Linked DNA regions of Lytechinus pictus. The protein of the gene in region 2 purifies or fractionates together with the protein of the main gene of each other region. This does not show direct contact. Links are inferred from orthologs where the notes say so. Each region holds a gene or a part of one and is shown on either strand. Other genes may lie near its edges.

Region 1 (6,837 bases), on a different chromosome or scaffold from region 2:
AAATAAATAAAATCAACACAATTTACGTGATTTTTATATTAAAAGATGGATTTCCTAGGGAAATCCATCTTTGTTTTGGTCAGTCTCTTATACATGTACATATATGACCGGGGGTTCAAGACTCCAATGATGAAGAAGTATATGTCTAAATAGCAAGGCCGCTGAAACTCGATGTTGAGTTTCCCGTCGCCCGCCCACGTTATTAAATTTGGCTCGCGTTTGAAAATCAAATTCTGAAAATAATTCATTATTTTACTATTTTGACATAGATCTAGATTCAAAACTGATATAAAACATTTATATAAGCTTTTCACTCACACAATTATTTGTATATCTTGTAAATACCTGTAAATCTTTTTTTTTTCTTGTGAATGGAATGACACTGCATGCTCAACCATAGTCAAACTCGTAGAATCAACCCAGCCATGGCCATGCAGCAATGTGCCCGTGCCGCGCTCCAGCAAGTATGCACGAAGATTTACATGGTCAGTACGTGTTTTGAACAAATCACGCATGCAACAGCGATAGTACGCATGTACGTACATGTACGATACGTGTACGGTGCAGGCAGAATCTCGATATTGTCTATTGATAAAATATACATGGATTTATTCATGTTTAGATCCATGTTTGTCTGATTTAAATTTCCTATTTCATTTATTGTACTATACTTACAATACTTTAAATACAAAATGCCAAAAATCTAATTTATTTCTCAGTGAGAAGGAATATTAAAGGGACATCCAAGCAAAGAATCTGTGTTGTGTATTAATATGTGACGTATCCCCTACCACTACCAAGATCTACCTTAGATCTACAATTATGAAACAGCAATACAATCCACTCCATTTCAAACATAACTCAAATGAAGATATAAACAGTGTATATGTCGAGATATTACATATTTATTGAGTGTATTGCAGAAAATGTCCAAATTAAGAAATAAAAGTGCGTTAAAAGGTATTACAAAAGGTCAAACTTTCATCTTCTGGAAAATAATGAAATCGGTTCCTCATTATGAGCTGGAAAATATGGGACGGGAAACTCAACATCGAGTTTCAATGGCCTTTAAAACATCATCATGGACATGGAGTCCTCAAGACTACCCCAGTCTCATGTATCCCTTGTTTTGCACGGTCGACTCCTGGGCTCCGGCCCGCAAAGCGGGTCGGAGCTCCCTGGGTTAATGATGCTGGGGACATTATTTTTCTTGAAGTCGGTCGGTGCGGTGCCCAACTGCGTACGATGATACGGTAGGATGGGGGGTCGGGTGTCCGCCTGTCCGGACACTTTTTTTTGAAGCCTTCTTTTTTGTCTTTGGTCTTTGGATTACAGTAAAAATGTGAATTAAATAGTTGTAATCATCTTCTATTTTGTTCTCCATAATATATTTCCTCACATTTTATACTAAAAATTGATGAAACTTCGCTTGTAAAGTTTTCCAAATGGCAAATGACTTTCTAAAATTGATCGTCCGGACACACATCCATAACCTGTCCGGACACACCCATGGCTACATCTCAGCCGCCGACTACAGAATAATTGAAGGCACGGCGCATTCAACAAATAACGTTATTTTCTGAAAAATGAATACGAGGACTTACAGAATGAAGTCCTCCTAGGCCTAGTAGAAAGTTACTTAACGATGTGAAGTCAATTCCTCATAATTTGATGAATATCCCTCAAAATGCGTCATTTAAGCGTTGATTTTTCTTCTCGTTGACAAAATACGAAAGCCACCTTTCTAGCTCTCAAATTTTTCGTCTAATGAGCGAAAGAGGGCGCGCGATTTATCTTCATATCAAAGACACTACAAGGGAAAGACTAGACACAAAAATTATCTTACACGTAAATCGATGCAAAGCGTTACGCAAAGTTGGCAAAGTGTTCAATCTTTTTACTGTAAAGACTTTGGTGGAACGTTAATTGACAAACGAACGGTAGCACTTGCGGGGCTTTGTTCAAGGTACATAGAATTTTCTATATTTTTTGTTAAATTTGTCATCGTTTTGAATATTTTCCAAAAAGTATTATCGTCAGCAAAAATAATAAAAAAGTATGTTTTTTAAGTTATTGCATTTATTGGGGTCTCTATTTTATCAAACAATTATTGGAATTGCGCATACAATGAATCATGAATCTAGTTTAAAAAAAACCACCAAGCTGAATTAAGGTTGTGAACTGTATTAGCGCCACCAACGACCTTCTTTTTCATTTCCGTGGAAGAGACGTGCGAAGCCACTTTCCAGGCATAGGTAAGCGATTGTGCTCTTTTTTGTGTTCTTTTAAATAAAAAAAATATGTTAAAAATTGAAAATGGAACGCTTTATACCAGAAAAAGCCCTGGTGAGTAGCGGAGTGGGTTTCGGCTAACATCATTCACGTTATGATGCGATGTTAACGACAACTCTAAAATCCACTACAAAAACACGGTGGTTGTGCGAGGTTCGTATAGCAAATGATATTTACCTCGCAATACGTGACTAGACTAGTGTGAGTGGTCCGGACACAACAACTGGATATAAAGCGCGCCGGTTAAGGGTCGAGCAGATTAGATAATTTGGGAATAAATTTGAACAAAAGTTTTTAGGTGAAATTAATTTGTTAACATTGCCAGATGCGAAAGTGCAATAGCGCCCAATTGGTCACGGCCCTGCCCCTGCCATCGGGATCATTGACAATGCACCATCGTCCCCGGAGCGGAGTTCGTAGCGTACCGTACGGAGCCCGGCTGTGAAACTGCCACTGTTCCGAATGGAGGCTCGATCCAAGCGATCTCGAGATCTTTATTGGTTACTCACCTTCTCATCAATTCTGACTTCATAAATCTCATCGTCTTTCAGAGGTCTCTTGCTAAATACTAGCCCGTTATTGAATTCTTGTCTGGAGTCATTTCGTCTTGCTGTTTTGTCGTCATCACTCAATGAAATTAAGGATCCACATTTGTTGTGAAATGGATGGATTCTCCGATGGCTCGCCATGTTTTCACCGGCGATATCCATGATGAATATTCATGAGTAAGGGCTGGGTTCGGCCATTTGAATATAATAAATGTAATAATAAGGGAGTCCATAAACACCTTTCATTGAAAATTTTATCGTGTTGTCGAATTTCTTAGTTTTCAAAAAATTGAGGAAATACTTGAATTTGAAGCATGATTATCTGATCATTGAACAATTTTGATTGAATAATTTCAGAATCCTATCGAAAAATGGACTAGTCCAATATCACAACGAACATGGCCAAGCATGTCCTATATAATTTATAAATCTCCACCCTTCATCAGCTGAGGCTTGTTGGTCTAGTGGCATGATTCTCGCTTTGGGTGCGAGAGGCCCCGGGTTCGATTCCCGGACAAGCCCCGTGATCTTTTTTTTCTCTCCAATGATTTTACATGTAAGTAAAATGTATTGCTGTACACATGCATGACCAAATTATTTCCAAACACCCCCTAAACAAGTTTTTTTCAGTGTGCAAAATAACCCCCTAGACAAGTGTTTCGCGAGCTTCATTTACACATTTTGGCCCCTAAACAAGTTGTCGCCAGAAATAATGACCCCTAAACAAGTTTTATCTACTTAAACAAAACTATATTCATGGGTATTGCATGCCCCCCGATTGTGGTATTTTAACCAAAGACGTCTTTGGTTCTTCCTGATTGTGGTATTTTAACCAGACGTCTTTGGTTAAAATACCACAATCGGGAAGAACCTGAACACTTTTCAGAAACGAGGAGGAAAAAGCTTGGAAAAAAAAACATGTTTCAGTTTACAAAATACAGTACACTGCAAAACATCTACAAATTGCTCTTGTTTACCGTTATAATTATATTCAGTTCATATTAATTTCAGGCTAGAGTTTTGTGATCAGTAGTAGTAAAGACAATAGGCAAGTAGCAATAGTAAAGTAGTAGTAGAAGTAATTTTATTCAAAGAAAACAAAATAAGACAAGGGGGATTCAGGTATATAGCTCATTTTAATGAGAACATCAACATTAATATAAATCCTCCGACCATACATTTTTTTTTATTCTCTTCTGTGCACACAACAGGCTAATAAAACCCTTAGAACAAGATATCTGCATGAAAGCAGAAAATATGATTAACAAAACAGATAAAATTTTGTAATATACTGGATGAATATTAAAAAACGATTATAGAAATTCAATTTTAATCATTATGATTAGTATATGCATACTTTATCAATATCGAGAAAACTCTATTACCGGTACTTGATTTGTATACAAATACCCCCCCCCCCCCCAAGTGCTTTCTCCATTTTATGACCATATGAAAATATTACTTATATCTCATTACCAGTATTCCAAGTTGGTTAGTAAAAAATCTTAACCTCGTTTAAAAAATATAGACAATTGGAAAAAATTGAAGTTAATGGTGATCAAAATTGATCCAATTCCAAAAAAGCAGTCACTAATCTATCTAGATTTTAATTTTCATGATTTCCAGTATTTTCTGACATTAATCACGGTGGGCTACTCTGGAGTAACAAATTAACTTAAAGGAGAATGAAACTCTTGGAGCAAGTTAGCTTTTGTGAAAGCAGAAAAATCAAAGAATAAGATCAACAAAAGTTTGAGTTAAATAGGACTAGCAATAGAAGAGTTATGAGCATTTGAATGTCGAGATCACTAATGCTATGGAGATCCTCCCATTGGCAATGCGACCAAGATCTATTATGTCACAGATGAACAACTCTCCCCTTTTGGACACTGAAAATATACCCCAAAACATCTCTTTTTACTCATTCTAATCATATGACAAACGATTCATCAATGATATAATGTTGTGAAACCTCTGTACTTGTCCTCTCATAAAGAGAACACCTCACCTTGTGATAGACTCCATAAAAGTGAAAATATAAGTGAAATAAGTACTAAAGTAATGAGGGAGTTGTACGTGTGTGACATCACAGATCTTGGTCGCATTGCCAATAGGAGGATCTACATGGCATTAGTGATCTCAATATTCAAATGCTCATAACTTTCTTATTATTCATTCAATCTTCCTCAAACTTTCAACAATATGTTTCTTTGATTTGTCTCTTTGATGTGGATTCAGCTGGTTTCAAGGGTTTCATTCTCCTTTAATTTCTCTATCCTATGCACACATTCCAGGGCCCAATAAAATTCAAGATACAAGCAATTGTGCAATTAATTATAACTTTAGTCTTTTGTAAACCACATTACAAGCAGGGGTGTGAGTGGTCACAAATAAAAAGATCTGAAAAATGCTGAAGAGTGTTGAAAAAGTCTGAAATAGAAAGAGCTCCCATACTTTTTGTACAGAGGAAGGCCAAAAATAAGCTGAAATTAAGCTGAAAATCAAAACAAAAAAATCTGAAATCAGATAAAAATCTGAACTCTCACACCCCTGATTACAAGTTAATATCAATTGTAGATTTTAATTGTACTGATTTCAATCAGGGCACTGATATGACATGGTTAATATCTTTGGTCCAAAACCTGTTCAATCCAACTGGATAGTTGGGATTCCTGCTATGATTATTATTATTTTCCTGAAGGCCAATCCCATAAAATAATCAATCCATTTGTAAATCTGACCCCAGGGAATAAATTTCCTGGTATCGCATCGCAATTTGCTCCATTTTTGAAAGACTGCTATGCATAAAGTCTTTTGTATAGCATATTTTTACATAGAACTGTACATTACTTAGTTGAGAGCTTTTCTCTTCTGACCAAAAATGCTATTCAAATTTGTAAAGCAAAATTATTCCCTGGACCCCAATTTTTGTTCAATTCTCACTTCATTTCAATGAAGTGTCAAGTCTCTGATATTTGTTCATTGTATTTTCATGTACCCTCTGAGATGAGATAAATTAGTGTTATGAATAAATGCAACACTTTCAGTCTAATATAGACTTACAAAGTTACAACGAATTACATTTCATGTCATAAAAAAATTGATTGCATGTTTTGCATTACAAGACTATGGTTTCCTAACATATTCAATATATTTTTAATGGTTTTTGGCAAATCTACAAAAAGAAATCTAGGACAAATCAGTTAAACTTTAAAAATGACATGTATAACAAGGCTATATGTAGTTTTCAAGATGTCTGACATGATTAATTTACACACTCTCAGGACAATCAAACCCAATTAACCCTAAACACAGTGTTTCCACTTTGAAGGAAATTCCCGAATTCTGGATCACTTTCAGGTAATTTTCGGGAAATGAAAAAATTCTTGGAAATCAGAAAATTAAACTTCCATTAAACGTAACAACTTTCAATATTCATGTTATATAATTCAAAGAATTGTTTGCCTCATTCATAGCTCAAAATTTTCTGCTCGCTCTCCGCGCTTGCATTTTGTTGCTACCGTACTTGTAAAAAGTGCATTCAACAAAAAAGGTTGAATTCCTTGATTTCGGTCACTTGGACCAAGTTCAGGCTCGCTTTCTTATTGTCCAATTTTGGTTGAAAAATAAAATTTGAAAATTCCAGGAAATGTCTATGAATTTCAGGAAATTTGAGATTCAGTTTCGGGAAATTTGTTTTTGATCTGTGGAAACACTGCCTTAACATAGCAACCAATAGTACACATAAATACAGAAAAGCTTAAAGATAAATGCCAGTTATGGTAACGGTTTCAAAATGAGTTCATAGGCATCCAATAAAATGACAACCCAAGTGTTTGGCTATATGAATATAATTAAAAAAATATGTGCCAAAGGATTCCGGAAATAATTGTGTTATTGTTGAGAATTTTGCAAAGCATTGTCTATTACCAAAAAAGTACCGGTAATCATACACAGTCCCATGTGTGCTTATCTGTTCATGATTCTACAGACTTCA
Region 2 (7,101 bases):
TCTTTCCATGAATTTGTAATGACATTACTAAAGCCAGGCACACAGCCGATATGGGAGACTGTCACCAAGTTTATTTATCTTCAATATATATATCAGTGAGACAAAAGTTTTGTAGGGAATAACTGCCTTGGCATTAATGTTGTTTCTTTTATCCTTTTGCACAGCAAGTCTCCAATATTGGAAATTGTCTCCCATGTTGGCCGGGAGTCTCCAACATTATTAGCCGTACGTCTCTTACAAGTTACTGGATGCATAGGAGGTGTCACCAACAGCAGTCCACCCGGGCCCTGTGGGTTCATTGCATTAGCCATGTGTGTGAAAATCAAGGATTTTACCTTATTTATTTCATTACATTAATTCTTTTACCAAATAATATGAACCCCTTTTTCCACCTCGTTATCCTTGTGTGAAATTTTTTTGATTATTTTTCGTTTTTTTCATTGAGTGAAGCGGTGAAGCCATTGCAATTTATCACAGACCAACATTTTCACCAATAGAGGGAGCACAATTTATATTTATATCAAAGACAATACAAGGGAAAGATGAGGTACTCAAACTATTTTACACACAAATCAATGTAAAGCATTACGCTAAGTTGATCAAGTGTCTAGTCTTCCTAATTGTAGAGTCTTTCATTCACACTGTTATCTTTTTATAAAGAATCAAAGCTTGTAGAGTCTACTGCTGCATGGGGGGGGGGTGAAGGGGCTGTGCCACCTCTCTATTGGGGGTGCGAAAAATAGAAAAAAAGGAAGAAAAAAAAAAGAAAAAGGAAAGGAGAGGAGAAAAAAGAGGGAAAATAAGAGGGAGACGAGTGACTGAAATAAGGTGAAGTGATGACTTGGAAACAGAACAATCTTTCATGTCCCCAAGGGCCAAGGCTATACTGTATCCGAAATCACCTTTGAACTTTGCTCACCAGGTTCTTTCACAAAAATATATTGCGATTCAACACATCCTCACGTGCACTCATTCCTCAGTCTACTCACGTTTTCACAATCTCTGCTCTCGGTCATCTGACAAACTTAATTAGAAATAAAATAAGAATCAACTCAATTTGAAATTACCTTCAAGTCTTGGTCTTGGCCTTTATTTACACTAAACTGGAGCAGTGGTTACACAAATATCTGCTCCCAATCGATTATCTTCTGACTTCAGAGCTAGGGCGAAACAACCAAAAATACAGGAGCCAAACTACAACCACTCCTCACAGTACGAGAGCTACACAACAACTGCACCCATCGAGGGCCAAACTTCAACTAACTAACCCCCTCCTTCAAGTGTAAGTGTAGGGGAGTCCCTAAACACATGAGTGCACAAGGCACTCTTACATAAAGATACACACATGTAGTGTACACAGAGAGACTGCACTACTGTGCATAGGGAAGATGGGGATAGTAGGAGAGAGATAGACACAGAGAGAGAGAGAAGAATAACAGAGGTAGTCTACTACCAGACTCTAAATAGGCAGTTTTGTTACAATACTATATACCCTATTTGCTCGCTCTTAGCACTCGCAAGCCATGACATTACCCAGTGTTCGATGTTTTGCGCACTGCGTTTCTTGTGTTGACTAATAAATTCATCATTTCCTGATGAAGCCCTATGGGCGAAAATTCGATCTAATTTTTTTCTCTACTACGGTTTGTTTTATTCACCTTAATTTGTATTTTGTTCGATGAGATACGTATCTTGCTCAATAGGCAGTGAAATGGAGCTAAAACTATCCAGTTTTGAAGTCATTATGAAAAAATATTGGAAAATATTTCAGCTCGGACATCGAGCTTTCATTTTGATTGACTATGAATTGATAAAAAAAAAGTGATTCTGTCTTTTTTTTCTGAACCAGTGAGCGGCAGTGATGACTGTTTGAGCAGTAGAGTTGCACGGCCAATATGGGAGACTCTCTCCAATAGGGGAGACAATCTCCCACATTGGAGACTTGCTTTGCAAAAGGACAAAAGAAACAACACCAACAAAAGCATGATTTTTTCCACCCAAAATTTTGTCTCACTGAGGTCAGAATTGTAGAAGCCCATTTGTTTTGTGTGTGATTGACAACAAAAATCCTTATCAAAACAAAGGTAGACGGTGAATTTTTAAACTAAAAGTAGACGGTGAAAAGGGGTAGGCCTAATTACTAATTTTTCATGAGGAATCTGTTTATCTCATTTTTATTTGCCGCCAAGGTAATCCTTTTGCAGCAAATGTAAACAAAGGAAATTGGTCTCCAAAACTGGAGACTGTCTCTGAAATTGGATACCCAAATTCTTTACAAGAGTCTCTGATATTGGAGATAATCTCCCACATTGGAGACAGTCTCCAATATTGGCCGTGCGCCTCTACTGTTGAGTGGCTGGCTAGCTGCAGCTTTATTCTAGTTTAAAATCATGAAAACTGATGAAATAAACACTCTACAGCAACGTTTGGACTGGTGGTTTATTTCACAATAATGCTACTAGTACTACATATGTATTACATTTGAAAATGAGAGATTTGCCATTGTATAATTCGCAACAAACTTCGACCAGTAGCCGAGCAGGCATACCCGGAAGTTGGCAACCACCGGTCATGACGCTTAATTCACACGGGTAGTCCCCCGTTGTTTTAACTCAAAGACACGGCCAGCGCCCCAGCTTGGCTCGTCTTGGTCGGTCGTTTCCGCAATCGGAAAATTCACACACCTGTTCCTCTTTCAAACAGGAAAACGAATATCTCATTACCTTTGAATTTAATGATACTTACCAGTCTGTCGGTTTTTTGTCGTCACAGACATCTTTGTATGCCTGCATCAAAGCATCTCGGTGTTTTACAAAACTTATCGACATTTTGCATTTAAATTCTCTTCTTCCTCGAGCTCGATCCCCCTTCAATCCTGTAATATTTTACACGCAGATGGCGCTCGCCGTCGACACGAGCAGGAGAATGGGAGTAATCAACTTCAACCTCTTCATCATCCTCCCTCAGTCACTTTTCCCTATCCCCCATTCTCTACTTCATCGCTCATTTACCCCCCACCCCGAACCGTTTCCTTTCTCTGTCCACAGGTATGTTTTGCTTTTTGGGGAGTTTTGTTATCTTGGGACTTTTTTTTATGTAGGCCTACTAGATACGTGTTTGGTTTATTTCTTAATGGGAAAGGAGGGAGGGTGGGGCCATGAGGGAGAATTATTTCAATTAAGTTCCTGATTTGACTGAATATATCCTGGGACAAAAAAAATGCTCACTATTCTTGCCAATGTGTTAAATATACAATTGCAAGAAGGGTGGGGTGTGTGTGTGTGGGGGGGGGGGGGAAATTGGAATTTAATATGCCTCTAAATCCTAAGGGGAGGGGATGTGCATCATGAATTAGAGTTCTGTGTATTTTAACAATTTCTATATTAGCAAAACATAGGCGAAAAGAATAAAGTAACATTTTTTGTCATGTGCTTACTGCTCCAACGTTTCACTCTCTCAGTGCCCCATCCCCACAGGATTTTTCAATTAGTACATGTATGCATAATTTGAGGGAAACTAGAGTCAAGGGAGACCGTAATGTAATACCTTTGGTTTTGTTGATGTAACATTATGAGACGTACCCCACAATTTTTTTGCATTCCATGTCCTTGTTCTCTCTCTCTCTCTCTCCATTCCTTTCTCTTCCTCTCTTACCTAATTCTTTGAGAACCCCCCCCCCCCAACCTCTCTCTCTCAAATTGCCCAGGGCATGCTTCTGCTGTTTTTCTTATTCTGTTATCTTTTTTTTCAAAGCCATTTTGAATTATCAATGAATAGGCTAGGATGGCCAGCAAGACGATGGATGGCAATAATTGATAGGCCAACATGTGTTTTGATTTCTGGTCGTAATAAATCAAATCTTATATAAGTATGTTACAGACCTATTGCTCTGCTGGCCATTCTGTGCTTTTGTCAAAATGTTTAAGTTAACATAGCTGATCTCTCTCTCTCTCTCTGTGTCTTCAAGTAGTTGCAAATGAAAGAGAAAGTCTCAGCCTAATCTGACAATGATTATCTTCACAAACGATAAGCATACAGAATGAATTTATCTATTTCTTTAAGAATTTAACCCTGAAAATAGTCAGCATTTCATGGATACAGGAAAAAATTAAAGGCCTTTTAGCTCTACGGTGTAAATAGTGTTAAATGTGACTTAAAATCATGCACGCACATGATATGTAACACGCAATCTTATTGATTGATACCATAGGATTAATACACACTAGTGTGCATACCCTTGGTATGATTTGACCAATGCGATGATGCTTTATATACCGAAAAAAAGTGAGGATAATGAGACACAATTAACTCTTTTGGAAACAATCCTATAGATATAGAATGTGCCATGATTGAACAAGAGAAATATGGTCTATTCCAATATATGCATGTCAATTTCAGCCACGGGTACCTAAATGTGAGTAGACTGGACTCTGGCTTTTTACAACCACAACAAAATATTTACTCAACACAAATACAGGATTTGTTCATTATTTTTATCAGCAGCTTATATTTACAAAATAACATTGTGGTTTCTTCCATAGGAACATGGTTCATCTAACAAAAGAATGTGAGTAGAAAGTCACTTTATACAATATACATTTGACAGTCATGATTCTTTAAGTATTTGACACAAATAACAGAAAAAATAATATGGAATATTGACAAAAATATTACCATTCATGGAAAACAAAAATTTTGGAAAAAGTTAGGTTGTGTAAAAAAAAAGATAAATCTGTAAGATTTTGATGAAGGTTTGTGAAAAAATGGACAAGAAATGTAAGTTATTGAGCATTTGAATGTACAAAACACTAATGTTATGGAGATTGTCCCATAGGCTTTTCATAGTATTCTTGGATCAGCACCAAAATAGTCTTTCATTAATCAATTACTACAGACCAAGCAGGTCTTTGTACTCATCCACTTCTGGCTTCCTTGTTATTCCAAAAGTTTCAAAAACCTGGGGGGAAAGATCATTTGCTTTTGCATGCCCCACTTTGTGGAATAGCCTTCATGAAGACATAAAAAAATGTACCTCTGTCGAAACTTTCAAAAATCTTCTAAAAAACTTTTTTATTTAACACTTAGCTCTTTATGCGCCTTGAGCACTCTACAGAGAGGATTTGGCGCTTTATAAGTCACATTATCATTAGGCAATATAATGCAACCAAGATGTGCGCTGTTACACAAACAACTTTCCCTTTTGAAGGATTCAAAAATACATAAAACATAAACAACTCTATTTCGCTCTCTCGAATGAGAGTACAAATTCTAGATTTTGTGAAGCCTGTATTACATGTCCTTTCTCGAAAAAGAACACCTATTTACTGGAAGACTTAACCCTTATAGTGGGGGGGGGGGGGGCAAAAACACCCCCTCCTCAGATCTCGGCCATTGATCACGCGATTGTGACAAAAATTGTCACACACATCATCTATGATGTAACCTCCACAATTAAATTGTCAATTGAATTAATCAATTATGCTAATTAATGCATTAAAACATAAACTGGCTGTTAATCTTAAAATATAGCCCGAAACTGCTAGATTTTGGTCTTGACACTCTTCTTATGATTACTTTAAAAAAAAAGTTTTTTCTTATGTATTTCATTGCTTATTTAATTTCTTATGCATTTCTCTGTTTATTTTACTTTATGGTTTTCATTGTTGTTTTTATGGAAACTATTGGCAACACTTTTTCAGTCATAAATAACATGAAATCAATTACTTTTAATCAGTACAAATAACAAGTGGAACGCCTCTGGCAGTCTCGCCTGCATTATGCGATTTGATATACCAGCAGTGCTGACTTTGAAAACAGCTATCAAATAATTATTCATAAAAGAAAACACTCATATGATAATAAAATACAATGTCCATTTACCCAACATGACCTTTGAACATGATCATATGACCTCAGACATGTGCAAAACAACTTGAATATCCCTTATATCTATGTTTCATAAACTGTGTAGATCTATAAACTTTTTAAGTGATGATGCCAATTCAACCAATACCCCCAACATGGCCAAAGTTCATTGACCCTAAATGACCTTTGATTTTGGTCATGTGACCTGAAACAAGCACAAGATATTCAGGGATACATGGTTACTCTTATGTCCCAAGTTTCTATGAACTAGATCTATCAAATTTTAAAGTTATGATGACAATTCCACAAATACCCCCAACATTATCAAAGTTCGTTGACCCTAAATGACCTTTGACCTTGGTCATATGACCTGAAAATCGCACAGGATATTCAGGGATACACTATCATCTTTATATCCAAGTTTCATGAACTAGGTCCATATACATTCAAAGTTATGACGACATTTCAAAAACTTAACCTTGGTTAAGATTTTTACATTGATTCCCCCAACATGGTCTAAGTTCATTGACCCTAAACGACCTTTGACCTTGGACATGTGACCTGAAACTCCCGCAGGATGTTCAGTAATACTTGATTACCCTTATGTCCAAGTTTTATGAACTAGGTCCATATACTTTCTAAGTTATGATGACATTTCAAAAACTTAACCTTGGTTAAGATTTCAATGTTGACGACGTCGCCGCCGTTGGAAAAGCGGCGCCTACAGTCTCGCTCTGCTATGCAGGCGAGACAAAAATGATGATATATTTATGAATTTTGGCTACATCCATAATTTGCATTGGATTTGTACATGAACTCATGTTTTTAATATTGGGTCTGACATACATTTACACAATTCTAAGTAACTTCAGAACGGTGTAACCCCGCATCGAGAAAGTTAAAAAGTTGCACGAGACTTGAAGGAAAAAAGTCATGAAACTTTAGGGCGTGATCTTTTCGCGTTACAGATTTATCGTAAAAAATGTTGAGGGGGGAGGGGCCTGATTTAGATAGATAGAGTAGATAAAAGAAACCTTTTTTTTTAATGAAATGAAGGATATCAGAATGATCAGAATGGCCCTGTATTCTTCTCTCATTCTTGATATATTATAAATACATTGGAGCTTGGCCTTCTAACACAAAATGATTAAGCAATGGGGAATTGTGTTGCCTTCACATAAATTTTGACTGTATTACAATTCTCTGGTGATGCATATTGGTTACACTTTATGAGTG

The links.
Region 1: the proteins of drebrin-like protein A (region 2) and neuralized-like protein 4 purify together in Homo sapiens (co-immunoprecipitation; 4 studies listed by BioGRID and IntAct, counting the BioPlex papers as one, with this or other methods). This does not show direct contact. The link is inferred for Lytechinus pictus from reciprocal best matches to the Homo sapiens genes DBNL and NEURL4.

Annotation. Positions count from the first base shown.
Region 1 is NC_087258.1:4,750,904-4,757,740, forward strand, and holds the start of neuralized-like protein 4, read right to left. Parts: upstream 3,007-6,837; 5' UTR 3,003-3,006; coding exon 2,802-3,002; intron 1-2,801. UniProt on the Homo sapiens protein: Promotes CCP110 ubiquitination and proteasome-dependent degradation. By counteracting accumulation of CP110, maintains normal centriolar homeostasis and preventing formation of ectopic microtubular organizing centers.
Region 2 is NC_087256.1:7,119,280-7,126,380, reverse strand, and holds the start of drebrin-like protein A, read right to left. Parts: upstream 3,002-7,101; 5' UTR 2,829-3,001; coding exon 2,746-2,828; intron 1,266-2,745; exon of another isoform or gene 1,068-1,265; intron 1-1,067. UniProt on the Homo sapiens protein: Adapter protein that binds F-actin and DNM1, and thereby plays a role in receptor-mediated endocytosis.